Xenopus tropicalis: one gene and its partner. The protein of the gene in region 2 purifies or fractionates together with the protein of the main gene of each other region. This does not show direct contact. Links are inferred from orthologs where the notes say so. Each region holds a gene or a part of one and is shown on either strand. Other genes may lie near its edges.

What was found. Proteins that work in one complex are often made in the same cells at the same time.
Region 1: the proteins of ess2 (region 2) and fra10ac1 purify together in Homo sapiens (co-immunoprecipitation; 3 studies listed by BioGRID and IntAct, counting the BioPlex papers as one, with this or other methods). This does not show direct contact. The link is inferred for Xenopus tropicalis from reciprocal best matches to the Homo sapiens genes ESS2 and FRA10AC1.

What each region holds. Positions count from the first base shown.
Region 1 is NC_030683.2:36,063,063-36,073,331, forward strand, and holds part of fra10ac1 (protein FRA10AC1), read right to left. Parts: intron 9,720-10,269; coding exon 9,643-9,719; intron 8,417-9,642; coding exon 8,333-8,416; intron 7,078-8,332; coding exon 6,993-7,077; intron 6,288-6,992; coding exon 6,242-6,287; intron 1-6,241. UniProt on the Homo sapiens protein: May be involved in pre-mRNA splicing.
Region 2 is NC_030677.2:153,455,067-153,465,435, forward strand, and holds the start of ess2 (splicing factor ESS-2 homolog), read right to left. Parts: upstream 7,057-10,369; 5' UTR 6,863-7,056; coding exon 6,710-6,862; intron 5,578-6,709; coding exon 5,409-5,577; intron 3,704-5,408; coding exon 3,620-3,703; intron 3,521-3,619; coding exon 3,348-3,520; intron 1,703-3,347; coding exon 1,585-1,702; intron 1-1,584. UniProt on the Homo sapiens protein: May be involved in pre-mRNA splicing.

The DNA.
Region 1 (10,269 bases), on a different chromosome or scaffold from region 2:
CGAGAAAGGTAAAAAACACAAGAATGTCATTGAAAAGCTGTTGATCAGCTTTGTCAAAAAGCACATGGATTATATGTAAAAAAAAAAAATATCAAGAGGGAAGGAAGAAATTAAATGAGTGTGCTGGAGGGGCAAAGCAAGAGTGACAGACTGGTAGAAGTCAATATATCAGATAATAATGACTGTTGACTTCAAAACTCCCCAGATTTACATTATCAGCACATGGGATCCTTAAAGGAGAAGGAAAGGGTTAAAATTGCGCCCACATAAATGCAAAGGTCTTATGTCCCTGTAGCTGACTGCTTAATTTTTTAACCTTCATAGACCGTATATTCTCTGCACTGTCAGACTTTAATAAACAATTTATGCGGCCACCATGTTGGATATTTAAATTTGTCCAACATGGCGCTGCTTAATGTGCCTGCACGAACCAACTTCCTCCCCCTAGACATAAGCGTGACGTACACTGCGCAAACACAGGCACTTGCAGAGCGAGCGCTCCTGCTTTAGAAATTGCAAGCGCGCTCACACACCGTGTAAAATGCGTATGCGCTTCCTCATGGCCTATATAACTTCGCATGTCACTGGTCTTGGTGCAGGAGCGTGGAATTATGGGAATCTGGAATACACAGCTCAGCGTTTTTTTCCTGTGTTGCCTCAGATCTTCTGAACAGTGAAATATGGGGAGACTTAAGGGCACTATTGAATGAACTGACGGTATGCCTGCAGCTTGAGATTAACTCTTTATTCGCCTTTCCTTCTCCTTTAAAATGATAATTTCTCTGTTTAATGACTGTCCTACTTGCCAGGTACAGATATGGCAGCTGTAATCCGGAAACCTGCGACACAGAGAGCTCTGAAATGCAGCACTGATAATGGTAAGTCTTAAATAAGGCAGTAGCTTGTACTTGATGACAACTAAGTTGCATAAATTCATGTTTATTGCAAAACAGTCCTATAGGTGTTTAACATTAAGCATGTAGGGAGAACCGGGAGATAACTTCTTAAAGGGACAGCGCCCTTACCTGTACTCGATAGGCCACACCAAAATCAAAGGGAAGCACTCCAAGAAGTCATGCAACAAAAATCACTTTATTCCCTCATCTTGTTGGGAGTCACAGCATACAGGTCAAATCACATTGTTCAAACAGGCTTTCTTCAATCATGCAATAAACATATACCATGTCCGTGTCCAGAAGACATCAGCCTTACCAGGGGTAGCTAACTCTGGCTATTCACCTCTGTCCCCAGTCTCTATGGGATCTCCTGTCCCCACCTGGCTCAGCAATCCGGCACTCCCTGCGGTGCCCCTTTGCTATTCCACCAGGCCTTTTACTGGCAGACTCTTAGCCCGAAGCTCAACAAGCCCTCTTCTAGCCTACCCCTATCCGCTATGGTGCTCCAGGGCTAAAATAATCCAGATAACCGATCCCCTAACTATACTAAAATGTAGAGCAAAGACTAGCTAACCTATGAAGCTCATTTATGTCTGAGACTGCAGTTGCAGCACCTACAATTTCCCTGCAGTCAGTTGCACAAAAAACCCCACTTTAATTAAAGGTACTTGTGTTAAAATGCACTCCTTGCACTTCCATTTATTTGCATTCGGCACTGCTCAGCCCTTCCTGCCTTCAGCTACCTCCAACTACTGACCAGGCAGTAGCTGGAGGGTTCCCTTCACACCCGGCGTCAATAGGTGTAGAACTCTTGTGCTGAAAAAATTAGGCACAAACATCATTAACATGGCAATGAAGCCACATGGACTTCTGTGCATTCCAACACAAATAAGACACAACTGCGCAAAACGTTGGCATCATTTCTGCGCTTGGTGAATTGGATGCAACTGTGGTAGTTGCAATGAAAATATGCTGCATTGTGGCAAAAAAAAATGCCTATTGCATTTAAAATTGCACTTTGCTCAATGTATTTGCAGAGTTAAATGAGCTCTTATATGTCAGGCCATTGTAAGAAGTAGCAGGAGTAGTAAGCAAAGCTGGCCATACACGGGCTGACTCAAGCTGCAGACTCAGCCCCTCCAGTCAGCAGCTTATCTGCCTGTATATGGGCCCTCCCCAACTTCCTTTGTGAAATCATTCAGATCTATCTAAAAATCTAATAAAGAAAAAAGATATCTGCACAGGGCACTATATATTTTCTTAAATGCTGAATGAGGTTATGTTTGCATGTAGCTCCCTCTAGTGAGGGCTTTCAGGAGAACAGTGGTCAGCTATGGGGCACAAGGAAAATTCATGCAGATCAGAGAAATTTCTTGTCTTAGAAGCAGATTTATTAAAAATGATATTTTCACAGAGAAGTCACATTCCACCCATACTTTTTAATAAATCAAGTTGCAAATTGACTTCCAAAACTTGAGTTGAAAAATATCTTGAATTTTGCCAATAGGACTCCCACATGAACTTGCCACCATTTACATACTGAATTCTTTACATTTGAGTTTTCAAGCTGAAAAATTAGATTTTTTTTTTCTGCCAAAAACTTCAGAATTGTGTTAAAAAGTTGAATTTGATTGTTGATAAATTAGTCCCCTAGTGTTGTCTGTGCTACAAATATGCAACTTGCATCCGGGATAGAAAATCTGCCCAAATTTAGATATTCCACTACAACAGCAGATTTTTTATCTTGCTGAAGTTGCTACTCAGAGCTTGCTGACTGTGTTTTCCCATTGTTTGTCTTAGTAAGCTATTTACTCCTAGAGGTGAGCTATACCTCCAAATACATCTTCACCCCCCTTAAGTTTCAGCTTAAAAGATTAACCTTTGTTCAACCTTCTGCTGTCATTTTTGCATAGAACTAACTTTATTCATTCAGAGCACTTATTATTATTATATGCAGTGCTGCATACAACATTCATTGGCCTTTAAAGTCTGCAGCCTAATTTTGGTTTCAGAGACAAAGGGAAATTGCCTGGCGTAAAATAACCCAAAATGATTGGGCACCACAGTTGCCAGAGGAATTGATCTATTGATTTAAAATGAATCCACTGTGGGGAAATAAGGAAGCATGGGGGACATGGGGACCCTTAACCTGCCTGCACCCACGACATGAGGGAGCTGTGGGAGAGAAGGTTAGCGATAATGTGTCACCATTCTGGTTACCTATATAATAAATATGGCCCAGGTTGGGACCCAAAAATAGGGACCCATCCTATTTAAGTTTTATCTCTATGATCTGCCAAAATAAAGTGAAAACTGTACCACAATTAAAATACCACAATGTAATTAAATTATGCCACAATATTGATTAAAACCAAAATTGGTTAGTGCAATGTAAAGATGTCAAACTGGGTAAAATGAAATTAGTGATGAGAAAAAAGCTTTTAAAGCCCTGGTGTAAGGGACATCCTATCAACGCAGAAATAATGAAGGACAGCAGGCTGCAATTCTATGCTAAACTCAGCGGGGAACTGGCGGGATATTATGCCACAAGTAAAAATAAAATGTTTTGTGTAGAGCCACAAATAAGCTCACCAAATACCACGTGGGGTCCAGGTGTGCATGGCCTAGACCTACAGTTAGAGGAGGAGGATTATACCATGGATGTGTAGCAGGCGCTCAACACATCCCACGAACAGGCAAAGTAAAAGAATAGAAAACCTTATTTTAAGTAAACACAAGAGTTATGATCACCTTACAGAGGCGCGTGCACATTGACAAGTGGCGGGGCAAGAAAGCCCAGACTAGGGATAGGCAGAAGAGGTACCTGCCTAGTGCCCCCTGCCATTGTGCCATTGGCAGGTGCCTGTTCTGACTATCCCTAGTTCTGTTTTTTTTGCCTTACACATTTCGTGCACTTCGTCACAGGCTGGTGAGACATTACTAAGTGAATGGAACAGAAGGGCGTGAAGAGAAGAAAGAACGATGACTGCTCTTGTAATTATGATGCTGATATATAACAACAGCAATCTGACATGCTGTCATACCATAATATGGTTGGAAGATAGGTAGTGATGAGCTAAATTTTTTGGCAGGAATAGTTTTGCTGCGAAATTCTGCATTTTGCTAAGGACAAAATTTTTCGTGGATTGCAGAGTGAGGGAAAGTGTCTTGGGCGCATCAAATAAATTGCTGTTGTGTCGCTTATTACTTAAGATAGGTATTTACTCCATTTCTGCATTATAATTTCTGCATTAAAATAATGCTTAGCAACACATCATGTATTTTTTCTTTGCAAACAGACTATGAGAAAAACATCCCATTTAAAATTAATCAGCATTATCAACTTAGTCGATGTGTATGAGGCAAAAAATGCTTTCCAGTTTCTTATGCAGCGACTCACATAATTAAAAATGCAGTTCTAATGCGTTTTTGATTATCAGCATGCAGTTTCACTAATGTTTTACATTATATGTTAATCAGAAGAAAAGTGGTATTAGATCATCATTTTTATTTTTTTACTGTGCTAGAAAAAATACTTTGCAATGCACGTCTTTTGTGAAACTGAATGTTGAGCTGTCAAAATTCTGAAATTAAATATCTGGGTTTTAGGATATCTAAACCATAAATGCTTATTTATGTGCCCTTACTAAAAGTGACAAAATAAATAAATATATACATTTTTTATTTACACAGGCTCACATGGTTCCATAGAATGAGAAGAAGCCACGATAGTCTGCCACTGACTCACAAGGACCGTCTCCCTACCCTAGGCTGTTTTTAATCAAATAATTCAGATTTCTAGGTAGATCTTCTTTTTCTCTGTAAATATAATAAAACAGTACCTCGTATTTGATCCTAACTGAAATCACTGTCACTTCATAGCTTAGTTTAAAAGACCAAATCTGATAATTACACAAACCAGCATCTCTGGCAGACATTATTTAAATGTCCTAAATGTGGTATTTTTAGCAAATCCACTCACCATGCACTGATAGGAGTAAACAACAGATTGTCTTTTCTTTCAAGTCCATGTCAATCTGATAACTGCTAAACCCTAAAAACTAAACCCTAAAAATGAATATGGCTAGAAATGACATATGTTATATACTGAATTACTGCACCAGCAATGACCCAGGCCTTCAAAGTTGTCACAGGGGTCATCATCCTCGATTTTTGTCAGTGACAGTCACATTCTCAGTGTGCTCTGGGCAGCTGTTGAGAAGCTAAGCTGGGTTTTGTCAAAATATGAGGTTGGCCTGTAATATAAGCTAACCTCCTATGTACTAATTATCTGTACAAATTACTAATCAGTCTTATATTGTGACATTTGTATTCTGTATATTGCGTTTTGGTCCCTAAGCTGACAGCGGTCCAGAGAATGTGCAGTGAATAAGCAGAAAAGAACATGGGAACTACTGGAGGCATCTTTAGAGGCACAAATCCTCCCTGCTAAAGGGCTGTGGCTACCTTGGGCTGATACAACATTTCTACCCTACTTCTTTAGTTAAAGGGAACCTGTCACCCTAAGAAATAATTCCAAATGTGTTTCTCAGATTAGTTGAGCAAAATTAACTTGACATACACTTTATAAATAATATAAATCTTGTTTCCTTCAGTCTTGGAATTACACAATCATAGCAAGCAGGCAGGCACCATTTTGGAGACTCTGTTATTAAGACAAGCTTTGCATCATACCAAAATCTTGTTTATATGCCAGAAGAGGGACCTAATGCCCATGCACTGGCTACACAATTAGATGGTAAGGAGGGAAGGGGAAAGTGAGAGCTGAATGGAAAGTTAAAGTTATAGTCTGCCCTGCCTGACAGCTGGGATTTTTAAATGCCTTTATAATGGGCATGGATGTGTAAATAAAAAAAGGAATTTGAGTTTCATGTTTAATTTGAAAAATTATTTTTATTGTCTGGGTGACAGGTCTTCTTTGAGCTTTTTATCCTCTACAAGTGATGGTCAGGCAATAAGGTAGACCTGGGCAAAAAATGCCCTACCATATTGTTATGTTCATCCTTACCTTTCTCACCTTTAGGCTACTGCCACACCAGCTGATGCAGATTCTCAGCCTGCGAATAAACACAGGGCGCAAATCAGCCCCTATGCTTGCCTTAGTCTACCCGTGTGACTGCACCCAGAGTATAAATTAATGTAGGGACTGATTATTGTCCTTCCTTTATCCAAAAGCTGAGAATCAGTCTGGTTTGGCAGTAGCCTTAAAGGCAGAGAAGACTTTCTGAATTAGGTGCAACTCTCTCTCACCATATATTTATTATTCCATGACAATTAAAAAATATATATGTCAACACATTCACAGACTTTCAATCAAATGCTACCTTTTCCAGAGATAACTTCTTTTTCCACTCGCCATCGAAACCCAAACTGTTGAAACAAAGCAAAAGTCATACATATATTAATATATGAATGCACAAAGGAACAAAATTAAGAACATAAGAAGTAACACCTTTTATCATAAAAGTTAATATATAAAACAGGATTTCATAAAGCATTTTGTACCCTGGCCACCTAAAAAATGTTATACCATAGCCACCTAAAATCTTTATCCAGAAACCCATTATTGTGGTAGCTTCTAAAAACAGCAATGGCAACAATTCTTCATTTTTTACTAACTTGCTTTTTTCTTTATAGGACAACAAACGCATATTCACTGGCATGGTCCTTATATGTTAGGCATCCCCCAATTAATAAAGATTAAAAGATTGTTCGTTTCCCCCATTGAGGTTCAGGGATGAATCGTCAGACATGGAGGAAGAAACAATAGGGATTCTACCTCCCCCGGCCGATTCAGCCCTAAATTCAGATTTCACTTGGGCACCTTCAACGGCACCCGATCAAAATCTTTTAACCCACCCGATTGACACTACATTTATGTAGGTCTTTGTTTATTCTAAGGCTTTTTTTTTTTAAACCAAGTCTAATAAAATAGACTTGGAAAAAGTCGGGGTAAACCTATGACACAGCACCCTGTCGTTTTCCCTCTGTGAGCAAGAGTCATTGGGTGAGCGAGCTGACCAGGGAACACTGTAGATGTTTGTTAGACATTGGCATTATTTTAGGGTCACAAACCTTGTTTTCCTTGTATCTGCTAAGATCTGCTATGCAATATTCTTTGAATAATTTATCATAGTATTTCTTTGCAAGTTTCTTGTCCCTGTCAAAGAGAAAAATTAAAACAAATAAGTCTGGAGTGGGGCCCATACTTGGGGACTCGATATGGGAGACATTTAAATTTAGAGTAGTTATAAATTTTTGATTAAGTATACATATTTCTAATTTTAGGTAAGTTATTTGAAGGATTCCTGTATGTTGAATAAGCTAAATGCAGTAAAAAAGCTGATTTCTCTTTTTTTTATTTAAATGCACAAAAAAATGAGACAGAATATTTGTATCACAGCTTTAATATAAATGGTGCATTATTAGCTTATTTAGCACAGAGCTACTAGTAGCAGCTACTTGTTGTGGCTACTAAAATAGACAATGCTGATCATTTACTGATAATTGTCTGTGTGTTTTAGCAAAGGCAATTCTCAGTACTGTCTATGGCAGGGTATTTTCTGAAGTTTGGTAGCCGCGTAAAAGTAGCTGCTACTAGTAACTCAGTGTGTCTTCACCCTAATGGGTGCCTACCCCTGCCCTCTCCTCATTCAGCGCTACCATATGCAGACAAAGCTGTATTCATAAAGGAACACACAGGTCTTTAAGCTCCATTTACAGAGCAGTGTGCAAAACAAACCATTGTAGTTTGGGACAGTTCTTTGCAATTTGTTTACAATAATAAGGGTATGAGCCAGCTTTAAAGGGTAAGACATACTTCAACTAATGATGAGTTTATGGAAAACCAAAATGTAGCTGAATATTTTTTTTCACTGACCACTGCAATCAAAAATCTATTTTCGTATCTACAGCTCTCTGTCCTCTCAGACTCTTTCCTATTCATACACAGGGGCTACCAATAGCCAATCACAGCCTATATTTGGCACCCCCAGGAACCTTTTGCACGCTTGTGTTGCTCTCCAACTTATTTTGACATTTGAATGTGGCTCACAGATAAAAAAAAGGTTGGGACCCCCTGATCTACACCATAAAGAAGTTTATTTTAGGGTGACTACACATTTAAGGAAGGTGTGAATAGACGTTTCTTGCATAATATGCCTTGTGCTGTTCCACTTAGCATGAAGGAGTGGTGTTTTATGTTCCGATTAAAAGTTTGCACCCTACATACATTATCATGACAAATGGTGGATTAAACTCAAAACATCCTGGCAAAAACATCAACACGCAATCACTAGGTTCAAACTACATCAGTCTATTTCCTGATGAATTAGATAATACATTTTAAACAAACCTGGGATCTCAGCATTAGAAAATCAAATTTTAATGAATAACTAGCGTGTAGTTGCATATACCAAGTCATGTCTTCCTCGTCTTCATCCTGCCACAGGAATCTGTGGTTCTCTCTAATGACATCCAAATCAGTTTTATTATTTTCTCTGCAAATAAAAACAGCAGTAAACATAACAAAACAGTATTTTGTACAGAATTTGTACAGTTATGACCTATGCATAAGGGTTAAGTCCTTGAGTCTTCTTACGTTTGGATATTGTGTGGGTACTGGTGATATATTGATATAAACATATTTTACTGCCATTATGCATTAAAAAAAATTGTTAGGCACCCCCCCAGTGATTGTAATCATCATTTATCCGATACCCCAGGCCGGTGCTCCTGTTAGCCTAAACCTGCACCAGCCTGGGCTACCTGAGAGTGAGTGATCCTCTTTCTTCTTCTGTCTTTGCACCGCTTGCGCAGTAAAGTGAAAAGCCAAACTTTAACAAAAAAGCCGTTTTTTCACTGTACTGCGCATACATGGGCATGCAGGTACCCTGAGCCGGTGCAGTTTTCTGCTGACTGGGGCACCACTCAGGGGTATCAGGTAAGTGATTGCAATCACTGGGGGGTGCCTAACATTTTGGCACCACCCAATGATTATACCTTTATAATCCCTTTAACGCCACACACACCAATTATAATTGTCTTTCGGTTTGACGAATATAACTATTATTATTAGTCTATTTGCAGAGTTAAAAAAACCATAACGTGGGAAAAAATTCCAGTTATTTAAAAAACTATAATATACACCTATATGCACCTAATAATAATTAGCACAATGTGTTGAAAATGTATTCTGCCTATTATTTAATTAATATTCTGATTTTTTTGACATTATAAAGAATTACTGGAAAACTGTCATTTTTCATTAAACTCAATACCTCACTTTTCCCACATAAACAAGGGAAATGTCACTAGAAAGTGAGCTCTGCATAAACAAACCCTAAACTGAAGCCTGTTATACTAATATGTTTTACTACTTAAGCAGTGACTAAGCATGAAAGAAAGTAAAATATGGAGTTAGAAAGTGAAAGTGGTTTCATTTTCTTGTATAGTGTAAGAAAACAAAAACCATATAATAACCAGATAATGCTTAATTAAAAACAGACAAGATGTATGTTCAACACAAGTCCTGTTCACTGAGCTGAAGTTGAAAAGGAGTGTATACCTGTAAGAATGTTTGATTTTATTAACTTGCATACAAAGCCTTTTGGTGATGTGAATATCACTTATCTTAGTTTATGTCTAATTACAAGTTTAGGATATGTGTATGTGTTTTATGTGTATAATTCAATGTTTAGGATATTCTTCAGTATAAAGTACTTACTTTGAATGCTGGAAATCTTGCAGTTTTCCACCATAGTACAAAATATAATCATTGACAAATTTCTGGTGTCTGGCAAACTGCAAAAGTAAAGGTTAAAGGAAACAAATATTTTCTGCACAAAACAATAACCTGCTCCTCTGCTTAATCAATGGACTTGGAAAACAACAATGAGTTTTTAAGACCCGCAGGTATTAGATTTATTTTTCTTCTTTTGTCTGGCTTTATTTGGTGGCATCATATACAGTGGTGTGAAAAACTATTTGCCCCCTTCCTGATTTCTTATTCTTTTGCATGTTTGTCACACAAAATGTTTCTGATCATCAAACACATTTAACTATTAGTCAAAGATAACACAAGTAAACACAAAATGCAGTTTTTAAATGAGAGTTTTTATTATTTAGGGAGAAAAAAAATCCAAACCTACATGGCCCTATGTGAAAAAGTAATTGCCCCCTGAACCTAATAACTGGTTGGGCCACCCTTAGTAGCAATAACTGCAATCAAGCGTTTGCGATAACTTGCAACGAGTCTTTTACAGCGCTCTGGAGGAATTTTGGCCCACTCATCTTTGCAGAATTGTTGTAATCCAGCTTTATTTGAGGGTTCTCTAGCATGAACCGCCTTTTT
Region 2 (10,369 bases):
GCTTCCTGCAGGTGGCCTGGGCTGATGCTTTTTTCTCCTAACAGGGGCACCAGCCCAGGGTACAAGTTAAGCGATCTAAGTCACTTGGGGGCGCCTAACATTTTGGCACCCCCAAGTGACTTATCCTTTCCTTCTCCTGTAAATTGCTTTTAAACCTTAAATTGGAATGTTAATAAATCTTCCCCTTACTATTAGAAGACACTATTATATTCTGAAATGCACTGCACTAGTAAATTTGTCAAAACTGCAAACATTCCACACCATATGTAAATGTTTACTTTTCAATTAACATTTAGAACAGGGTACTGTGCCCAAAAACCAAGGAGAGGGGGGACAAAGAGTACTTCTTTATAGGAACACTGTTATGGGAAACCATGTTTTGTTTTTTTTTGTTTTTTTTAAATGCATTAGTTAATATAGCTTCTCCTGCAGAATCCTGCATTGAAATCCATTTTTGAAAATTGCAAACAGATTTTTTTATATGAAATTTCACATGGGGCTAGTCATATTCTTTAATTCCCAGGGTGCCACAGCCATGTGACCGTGCTCTGATAAACTTCAGTCACTGTTTACTGCAGCGCTGCAAGTTGAAATGATATCACCCCCCCCAGCAGGCGATCAGCAGAACAATGGGAAGGCAGCAAGATAGCAGCCCCAATTATATAGCACTCAATAGTAAGAAATCCAAGTCCGTCTTGGGACTCCTCCAGTTACATGGAAGTGGGAGAAACAACAGGTTATCTGAAAGCAGTTCTTATGTGTAGTGCCGGCTCCTTACAAAAGCACTAAGATAGTTGCCTACACACCATTATTATAACCAAACAAAACTACATTTGTTGGTTCAAGAATAACATTTTAAATGGTAGAGTAAATTATTTGCTATGTAAACAGTGTAATTTAGAAATAAAAAGGACACCATAAAAATCGTGACAGAATCCCTTTAGAAAGAACCACTGTGTGTAAAAAAAACTGGTAATGCAGTCAAAGACATTCCATGAAATGGCTAGCGGCATCTCTTGCTAATCTAACAAAATCTACTAATTTGTGGATGTAGCTTCAAGCAAGCAAATGTGTCAAATAACTATTTTAAAATATTTAAAATAGAACTTAAGAAGAAATGTAGTCTTCAGTCCTCAGTTATTGCAACAAAAGACTGAGATTTTCTTTGAGCATATGTGAGTTAATAGCAATTCAGCCTAAACTTCTGCCTGCCAACAACCTATCTACTGCAGCTCTGCCCAAATAAATCCTAGGTGTTTGGCCAAGCCAAATCAGACCCATTTACAAAATGTGAATATAAAACACTGGACAAATAAAGGGAGATCATTTAAATATGGGTAGATATTGCTCCAGCTCACACATGCTCATTATGCAGGGAAACGTAACTGATCCTACATCACATGCATTGGCATAATGGGCCAGCTGGTGCACTCACTCATTATACACATGCATATAGCCCAATACAAAGCTCTACTCAGGTGTTGTGTTGAGGTCAGAACAAAAAATATGGCATGTGGGAAATAATTTTCATGTGCTCTTTAGTGTTCCTGTACTTTCTCCTCACCCCACATTTACAAAACATACCTGCAGGATAATACATAAGAGAGTTTTGGGCTTTGTACTCCCATGTGTCCAGACCAGCCTTCCCACACTCTATGGCTTGCATCTCAGCTGAAGGCAGAGCCAGGTTCTTTTGGAGTCTCTGAAAAGTAAGAAATAAGGCTCAGTGCCAGTCCTTAGAAGACAGCTCTTATGACAATACTTAACTTTTAATTTTACTCACATAAGCAGTTCTGTCATTCTGCATTTGCACAAGATTTTGCAAGATTAATTGAGTAACTGAGATAAGAAAGTTTAATAAGCCAAAGGAACAACCAGCCTTCAAATACGACAAAAAGAATGCTGGCAGAGAAAAAGAGGTCACCAGCTCCTGCCCCATGTCTGTAGTGACATCAATGGCTTGCTCCTTTCAATGTGCACAGGGGATATATTTCTGCATAGCCATCTCAGATATGCATATTTGGATGAAAATCCACCCATGTAAATAGTAACAGGCACATGCCAGTGATGTTTCTTACTAAGAACACAAATCAGACTTGGGTTATATCCATTTTCTGCATCAGTGTTTTGCTGTTGACAAAAAAAAACATAGGAATAGGCCTTCTCAGACCCAATCTGACATCCGCCTAAAAGGTTTTATAAAAAGACAAAAACACAATTCTGTACCCTAGGGCAGTGCTGTCCAACTGGCGGCCCCCCTCTGTGTGGCCCCCCACTTGTCTGGCTGCTTTGATGGCTTACCTTTCTGTAAGCTTTAAATGGTATCAGTACTGAGATTAACTGGCCCCCTGCATGGTTCTCACCTCAGATTCAGGCTGTAATCCCCTGTATTGTTTAAAAATGTAATCCCCTGTGTTTTTCACACCTACTGTAGGTACCTATGCAGGTACTGCCTGGACTATGCTACCTGTGTGTATGGCACACACAGGGAGCATAGGGCAGGCAGAGTATGGCACACACAGGCAGGGTAGGGCAGGGAGGGTATGGTACACACAGGCAGGGTAGGGCAGGCAGAGTATGGCACACACAGGCAGGACAGGGCAGGCAGAGTATGGCACACACAGGCAGGGTAGGGCAGGCAGAGTATGGTACACACAGACAGCATAGGACAGGCAGAGTGCTGCCTGTGTGTGCCTTACTCTGCTTTCCCTATGCTGCCTGTGGAAGGTGATCCTGGCAGGGGTTTGTTGTGGGAGTTTGTTAGCAGTTGGAAATAGTCATTATATGGTCCCTAAGGTGTGTAATTATGTACGGGGGGTTGCTGTGCTATCCACAGGGGAGGGGGAGGCATATGGAATTTAAGGGTATATCTTAATATGACATAATTCTTTCACATATGAATGATGGTTGAGATACCCACAGTAAGGACCAAGCATTTAAGATTTTGCTGTGCTACCACCATTGTGATAAAATAGGTGTGGTTGGAAGTGGGTGTGGTTTCAAAAAGGGGAGTGGTCAAAACTGGCTTCCATTAGCGGCCCTCCACCATGTATGCTAGAGAAATTCCGGCCCTCGGCACCATTGAAGTTGGACAGCACTGCCCTAGGGAATACATATACTGAAAAATAAATTCTATATCCTGCAACTGGGTGAGAAGGAATGTGGGGGTTATAGCAACCCTTTCAAGCAGTAAGTCCAAAACTGGATGTGAACAGTGATGAACACTCCTTTGGGTATAGACAAACAGGAAAAACTGAAATCTGTTAACACTTGTGTTAGTGTGTAAAGACATGCAGAAAAATCCACTGTACATCAGTGGGTACTCTTTAAATGACCATTCCCCATACCTCTTTATACTCTTCTTCTGCCTCATAAAGCCAAGCATGTTTGCTCTTCTCCTTCTCTTTAGCAACTTCCATTATCTGTTCAAAAGAAGCATTATCCTCACTTGTGTGTCTGGCCAAAAAGTTGTCCAAACCAGGAAGCTTGTCAACATTCTTTTCTGTTATTGCTCCATCTGCTGTAAAATATATTTTAATGTAAACAAGCAGTGTGAAAAAGTAGTGAATATTTTGCTTTCAATTTTGTCATATTAAAAAAAAAATAGATAATCACTTACCTTCCTCTCCTGTTCTTTGGACAGTGGCCATGGAGGGAGTGCCAGGAACTCCAGCAGGAGTTTCAAAGGTTGCTGGTGTTACATCTGCAAAAAACATAAAGAGTTGTACAAATCTCCCATATGTGCATTTGACACATTTACAACTAAATACAGGTATGGGATCCCTTATCCGGAAACCCATTATCCAGAAAGTTCCGAATTATGGAATGGCCATCTCCCATAGACTCCATTATAAGCAAATAATTCTAATTTTTAAAAATGATTTCCTTTTTCCCTGTAATAATAAAACAGTACCTTGTACTTGATCCCAACTAAGATATAATTAATCCTTATTGGAGGCAGAACAGTCCTATTGGGTTTATTAAATATTTAAATGATTTTTAGCAGACTTAAGTTATGGAGATCCAAATTACGGAAAGATCCCTTATCCGGAAAAGCCCAGGTCCCGAGCATTCTGGATAATAGGTCCCATACCTGTATTATGACTCAGCAAACAGCCTTAGGGCAAGTCTTATTTAATTCATTATCCTCAACACCAGATGGGGCAATTAGTCGCTGCGCACGAAAACCACGCTCGTGAATAGTGATGAGCGAATCTGTCAAAAGATTCACAAAACGGCGAAAATTCCATGTGCACCGGATTTTGTCGCCCATTTCGCAAAACAAGCCACCAATGGCGAAACTCGAAAATTCACAGCAAATCCATGCCTGCCAAATTATTTTGCCCATCACTTCTCGTGAAGAATAATCTCTGTGCACAGATATACAATTCACTGCATTTGCATGGTACCGTGCAGGACCAGTCCCCACGACTTTTCCAACAGGTGATTAGTTGCTGTGACTGGATTTTAAAAATCACGCCAACTAATCACCCCATCTGTCTTCGCCCTAACACAGCAGAGCGTACAATATAAGATCCCTAGTATGTATGCACATACACTAGGGTCAGTTTCAAGAACCAGTTAACCTGACAGTCTAAGGTAGGCCTAGAAAACAAAAAGTTATAAAAAGATGCTGCTTTTAATTTAATTTAAAAATAAAATCTATATTAATGTATATTGGAAAGGTAGGGTAGGCATAAAATTACACTTTCTTTAAATAATACATTTTGGGAAGTTTTTTATCTTTCATTCTGATTTCCAAACTTCTGCCTCATTGATAGGGTACAAAAACCCCAGCAACCAGTTATCACTCTAAATTCCAAGTTTTACAGCCGGAACACAAAATAATGTAAACAAAAAAAAAGCTATTTTATCTTTAAAATATGTCAGTGTATACTGTAAAAACCTGGGAATATTTTTAGCTAGAATTAAAATTGGTATTAATAAACATATTCCCAAGTTTTCAATGCGACTGCCACCCACTTCCATTGCTGTCTCCTACCTTAAACCTTTTTCTCACTGCTCCAGTCTTGGAAATTCTATACCTATTGCAGTCTTTAAAAAAACAAACTCATCTGACAATTAATATTTACATTTATATATGTAGTAATGTTTCGGAATTATTTAAGCCAGGCTGCTACTCCCTATCTCGCATGGGAATAATGTGTAAAGCTTGTCTCGAAACCCAAAGTAATCAATTAGCTAGTAGCAATTACTGTTTACTGATTGGCGGCTACAAATTGCTACATTTTAGACATTTTATTACATTAACCCATTAGATGTTGTTTCTAAGCAGGCAAGCCCATTATTTAAAACCCAAGCAGCATTTGCATTAATTAAGTAGCATGAATATAAAATATATAAGTAACAGGATCTTCCCCATGAGCTCATTAGTAATATAAACTTACAAGGCAGTGGAGTATCCTGAGCTGATTTGCCCAAGGTGGAGCCAAACTTAATGGAAATCTGTCTCATCTTCTCAAGGTCTCCACATTCCTCTGCTTCCAAATATTCCTTCTGAGCCCGCAACTTCTCAACATCTGGGAAGAAATCTCTCTGAATGATTTTCTGAAGATTCTGCATGAAGATAGAGAAAAACAAAAAGGTGGTTTTTACAAACCACATATACTGTTTGCTATGCCGTACAAAAGACAAGCTAGACAAAGACTTACTTATGTAATCACACTTTATATAATAAAAATCAAGATTTGTCTAACCACTGAAACTGAATCTCTAAAACGGAGCATATGATGTCCACACACTCCACATATTCCTCATTAAAAAAAAAACACAAAAGAAAAGTTGTATTTCATGTTATGAATTCCAAGTTTAGGGGGTTAATGTGGCATTTCATTTAGGCATTAATCTGCTGATAAGGGTACAAGCATTTTAGAAAATATAGGGTTTCTATTTAAATCCTATTTTTTTGGGAGTTTTTTTTAATACAATTGCTCTCAGTAGTGGGAACCCATCAAAAACTAGCAAGCAGGCTCTTGTTCCAATTACTCTTTTCATTTATACATCCATAACATGTTGCTTTAACTTTGAGTGGCATGCATTAAAAGGAGAACCAGTGGGCTATTATCAAACTATATAGGGGTTATGTAAGGTACTAAGTTTGCCCATGTGCAGTAAGCCATAGTAAACAATGAGCAGGTAGCATTTACTGATCACCTTTTAAAAGCAAACATCTTATTGGTTGCTATGGGTTACTGCAGATGGGTAAACATGTAGGGGTCAAGGGTAAGGGCCCACGGTGAAATTAGTCGCCCATGGTTAGATCTCGGCTACAGTGGGAGACTTATCTCCAAGAAATTCCTTTCCATCGGCAATAAAGTGAATGGCCGGTGGGAAAGTTGCATTAAATTTTCACCTGCAGAAGGAACTTTGTGCCTGATGATACCACTGACATTTGCTTATAGCTGAGCTCCACTGTCTTCTATGATAATATATATTTAACAGTTAATATTAAAAAAAAACCTGTGATTATTGGTTGAAGTAGTTGCTCTATTGTCAAAGGGGCATTTGCCCGTCTCATGTAATTTAGTTTAGGTAACTTGCCATGCGTGTGAATATTATAGGGCCAGTGCTCAGTTTTTCGGCACAGTACTGCAAAGACTCTACGACATCGCACTGATCTGACAGCTGTCCCCAAAAACACACTCAAGAGCACATTCCTTCTCATGTCACCGTATCCCCCGTGACTTACCTGTATATACGTCTCTTCACACAGCACCTTCTTCTTTGGCCTGCTGCTCTCTGCTGCCTCAGGGACTTCTCTTTGTATGTCTAAAGCTCCTGCTCCAGGCTTGTGTTTCACTAATGCCCCAGTGTTTTCACTCTCCGCTCCAGGGGCTGCCATCCCGCGGTACTGACACAGAGACACCAGCACACAAACGCTCACATATATAAAGCCACAAGGATTCTTGCTGTGTATAGACGTCTAAAAAACAAATCGCAATCCCACCGCAATATAACTACATTCAGCAGACCCTCTCCGACACCATACAACCACAACGCATTCCGGAAGATGAAGCGCAATAGCGTATTGCATTCTGGGAAACGTAGTTGTAACGTGAGTAAATTGCCGGAAGTTGTAGTGTGGGATGCGGGGAACCTTCCAGCAATGAATTCATACAGGAGTCAATACAATAATAACAAAAGGGATAAATACCAAATATAATTATATTCAAGTTTAAATGCTGAGTAGGAAAGAGACCAGGGAAAGGAATTCCATTCCTTATAAAATTTACATTTTTTTTCCTCGGGTTTTCAGACTATTCACTTATTTTATAGGTACAGTTTGATTTTGCTTGTTTGCTTACAATTCATATTTGTATTACATACTGACACGGTATTTTATATCCTGTAGTTAATGTTATGTCACTTTATGTGATTTACAAAAGTATGGAACTATACCTCCCAACATTTTGAAAATGGAAAGAGGGACAAAAAGAAATGCCACACATAGCAAGGTGAATTTCATTTTTTGGGGTCTTGTTTTATGTGTTATTACAGTTTTGTTTAAAAAATGCTGAAATTGCCCTTTAAGCTGCAAGTCAGTTCCCCACAAGAGACCTGTTTAGCTTATAAGTTACAATTGTATTTCAGTGCAGGTGAAGCTTGTTAACTTTTTGGGCTCTCTGCCAAAAGCTACTTTTTAATTAAGTTTGAGAAACATTTGTATCTTTTTTGGTCTTCAGTGCAATGAAAAGGGCAATGAGGGACTTTTCAGTAAGAATCCAGGACTGCAGGCTGAGCTGTCAAAACAGGGCCGGAACTAGGGGTAGACAGACAGGCACCTGCCTAGGGCACAACGATTGGGGGGCGCCAGGCAGGAACCTCTCTTGCCTACCCCGTAGTCCACGCTACCTTGTCATTGCCCCCGCCGCTTGTCATTACGCGGTGGGGGCAATGACCTCCCCCTGTGCTTGATGGAACTGCACATGCGCGCCAAAGCACACACGAGGGCGGGGAAAGTGCAGGGAAGAGGTGACCGACCGCATTGCCTAGGATGGCCGGTCAGCTTGGCCCGCCTCTGGTTGGGAGCTGTTTGAGGTGCCTTGAGAATGTTTATGATCATTATGATTTAATTAGCATGCATACAAGGACATGCCTTTCAGAGGGGCTGCTGTAAGATGCCATAGACAGTAACTATTTAGTGGGCTGGTGGAGGGCTTTTTGGGTCTCTGTGTACTTGAAATGCCAGGGCCTGTTTGGAATCCCTGGGCCTGGTTTGCAACCCTGCTAAATGCATATACACTACTAATGTTTTGTAAAACATTGTAATGATCTTTGTCTAATAAAGACATGATCTTTGTCTAATAAATTACATATTTGTAATCTTACAATAGGCATTTTACAATAGGCATTTCACAACCTTACTGCATTCAGGCTTGCTGCATCAAGCTCCAGAAGGGGGAGCCGTTCACCTTAGGATATTCTCTTTGCAAATAGAGGAGAACACCAGAATGTAGATGTTCTGCTCGGTGAATTTGTTGCACACTTGTACAGCAAAATATATTTCACATGTTGTGTTGTTTAAGTCTGCAATAAATTGTACTGTATATCTGCCTTGTGGTGATCTCCTTGTCACTTGCAAAAAGTATATTTTGAATCTTCTCTATTCACATGTTGTATTGATTGATTACAAGGATACTGGCACTTTTTTCTCAGCACAACAAGCAATAAAAAGCATCACTACTTTGTAAGGTTAATGGCACATTGGTAGCTGATCCACTACCTTCCATCCCATTTCTCTGTGTGCACTGCTAAATATGCTCTCAGTGTGTTAAGTGGTAAATCCAGTGCATACAGATAGAGGGGATGGAAGGCAGCAGATAGGCTTTTCTCCTGGCCTATCTCTGACCTGTTTGTTATTAGCACAATGGCTGAGAGGTTTAAACCCCATAACTTATTTTTTGCCAATACACACAATATTTTGGGCCCCACCTCCAGAGTTAAAAGGGTGGAAGTCACTAAAAAGGTAATTAAAAGTGGTAATAGAATAGAGGCAATCCTATAATGCATTGTGAAGATAAGAGATAAGGGTGTACTCCAAGCATGTTACAGAGTCACTAAAAGACAATTCCATTCCCTAAACCTAACCTAAATAACTACATTTATAGTAAAGGTGTAACCTTTAAAACTATCATTAAAATTTTAGTAGTATTTAATGTGGCCCCTTACCAGATAGACAGCTTTGGGCTTCCTCTCTGTAGAAGGTGGTTGCTGGACCCCAAATTCATTCCATTAAAGGGGTAGTTCACCTTTATGTTCATTTTTTGTGTGTATTAAAATGAAATATTCTCAGCAACGTTTTAGTTGGTCTTCATTTTTTTTTTTTTTTTTAGTTTTTTAATTATTTGCCTTCCTCTTCTGACTCTTTACAGCTTTCAAGTGAGGGATCACTGACCCCAGAAGCAAAAAACTATTGTTCCGTAAGGGTACAATTTTATTGTTATTGTGTTATATTTAGGGATGCACTGAATCCAGTATTTAAGGATCTGGCTGAACCCTGAATCCTTTGCAAAAGAATTGGCCAAATACCGAACAAATCCTGATTTGCATATGTAAATTAGGAAAAGGAAGGGATAAGACAAATATGTGTGTGGCAAAACATTTTCAGTTTTTGTGTTTATGTGACAAAAAGTCATGTGATTTTAAGGATTCCAATTCGGTTCAGCCAAAAGCATGGATTCGGCTGAATCCTTCTAAAAGGCCAAGCTTGGCCAAATCCCGAAGTGAATCCTGTATTTGGTGAATTGCTGGTTATAGTCTGTTACTTTTTCTGTTCAGGCATTTCCTATTCATATTCCAATCTCCTACTCACAACAATACTTGGTTGTTAGGATAATTTGGACCCGAGCAATCAGATAGCTGCTGAAATTCCAAACTGAAGAGCTGCTGAACAAAAAGTTTAATAGTCCAAGAACCACACATAATCAAAAATGAACACCAATTGTAAATTGTCTAAGAATATCATTCTCTACATCATTCTAAAATTTTATTAATGGAATACTGTCAAGGAAAAACGTGTCTTTTTTTTAATACACATCCATTAATAGAGCTTCTCTAGCAGAATACTGCATTGAATCCATTTCCAAACAGTTTTTTTTATTTCATTTTAAAATGTCACATGGGGCTAGCCATGTTTTTCACTTACCAGGATACCACGGCCATGTGACCTGTACTGATAAACTTCAGTGACACTTTATTGGTGCACTGCAAGTTGGATTGATCACCCCCCTCCCCTCCCCCCCAGCAACCGATCAGTGGAACAATGGGATGGTAGCAAGATAGGGGCTACCTGGAACCTGATATTAGAACAGCACTCAATAGTAAAAAATCCAAGTCTTGCTTGGGACTC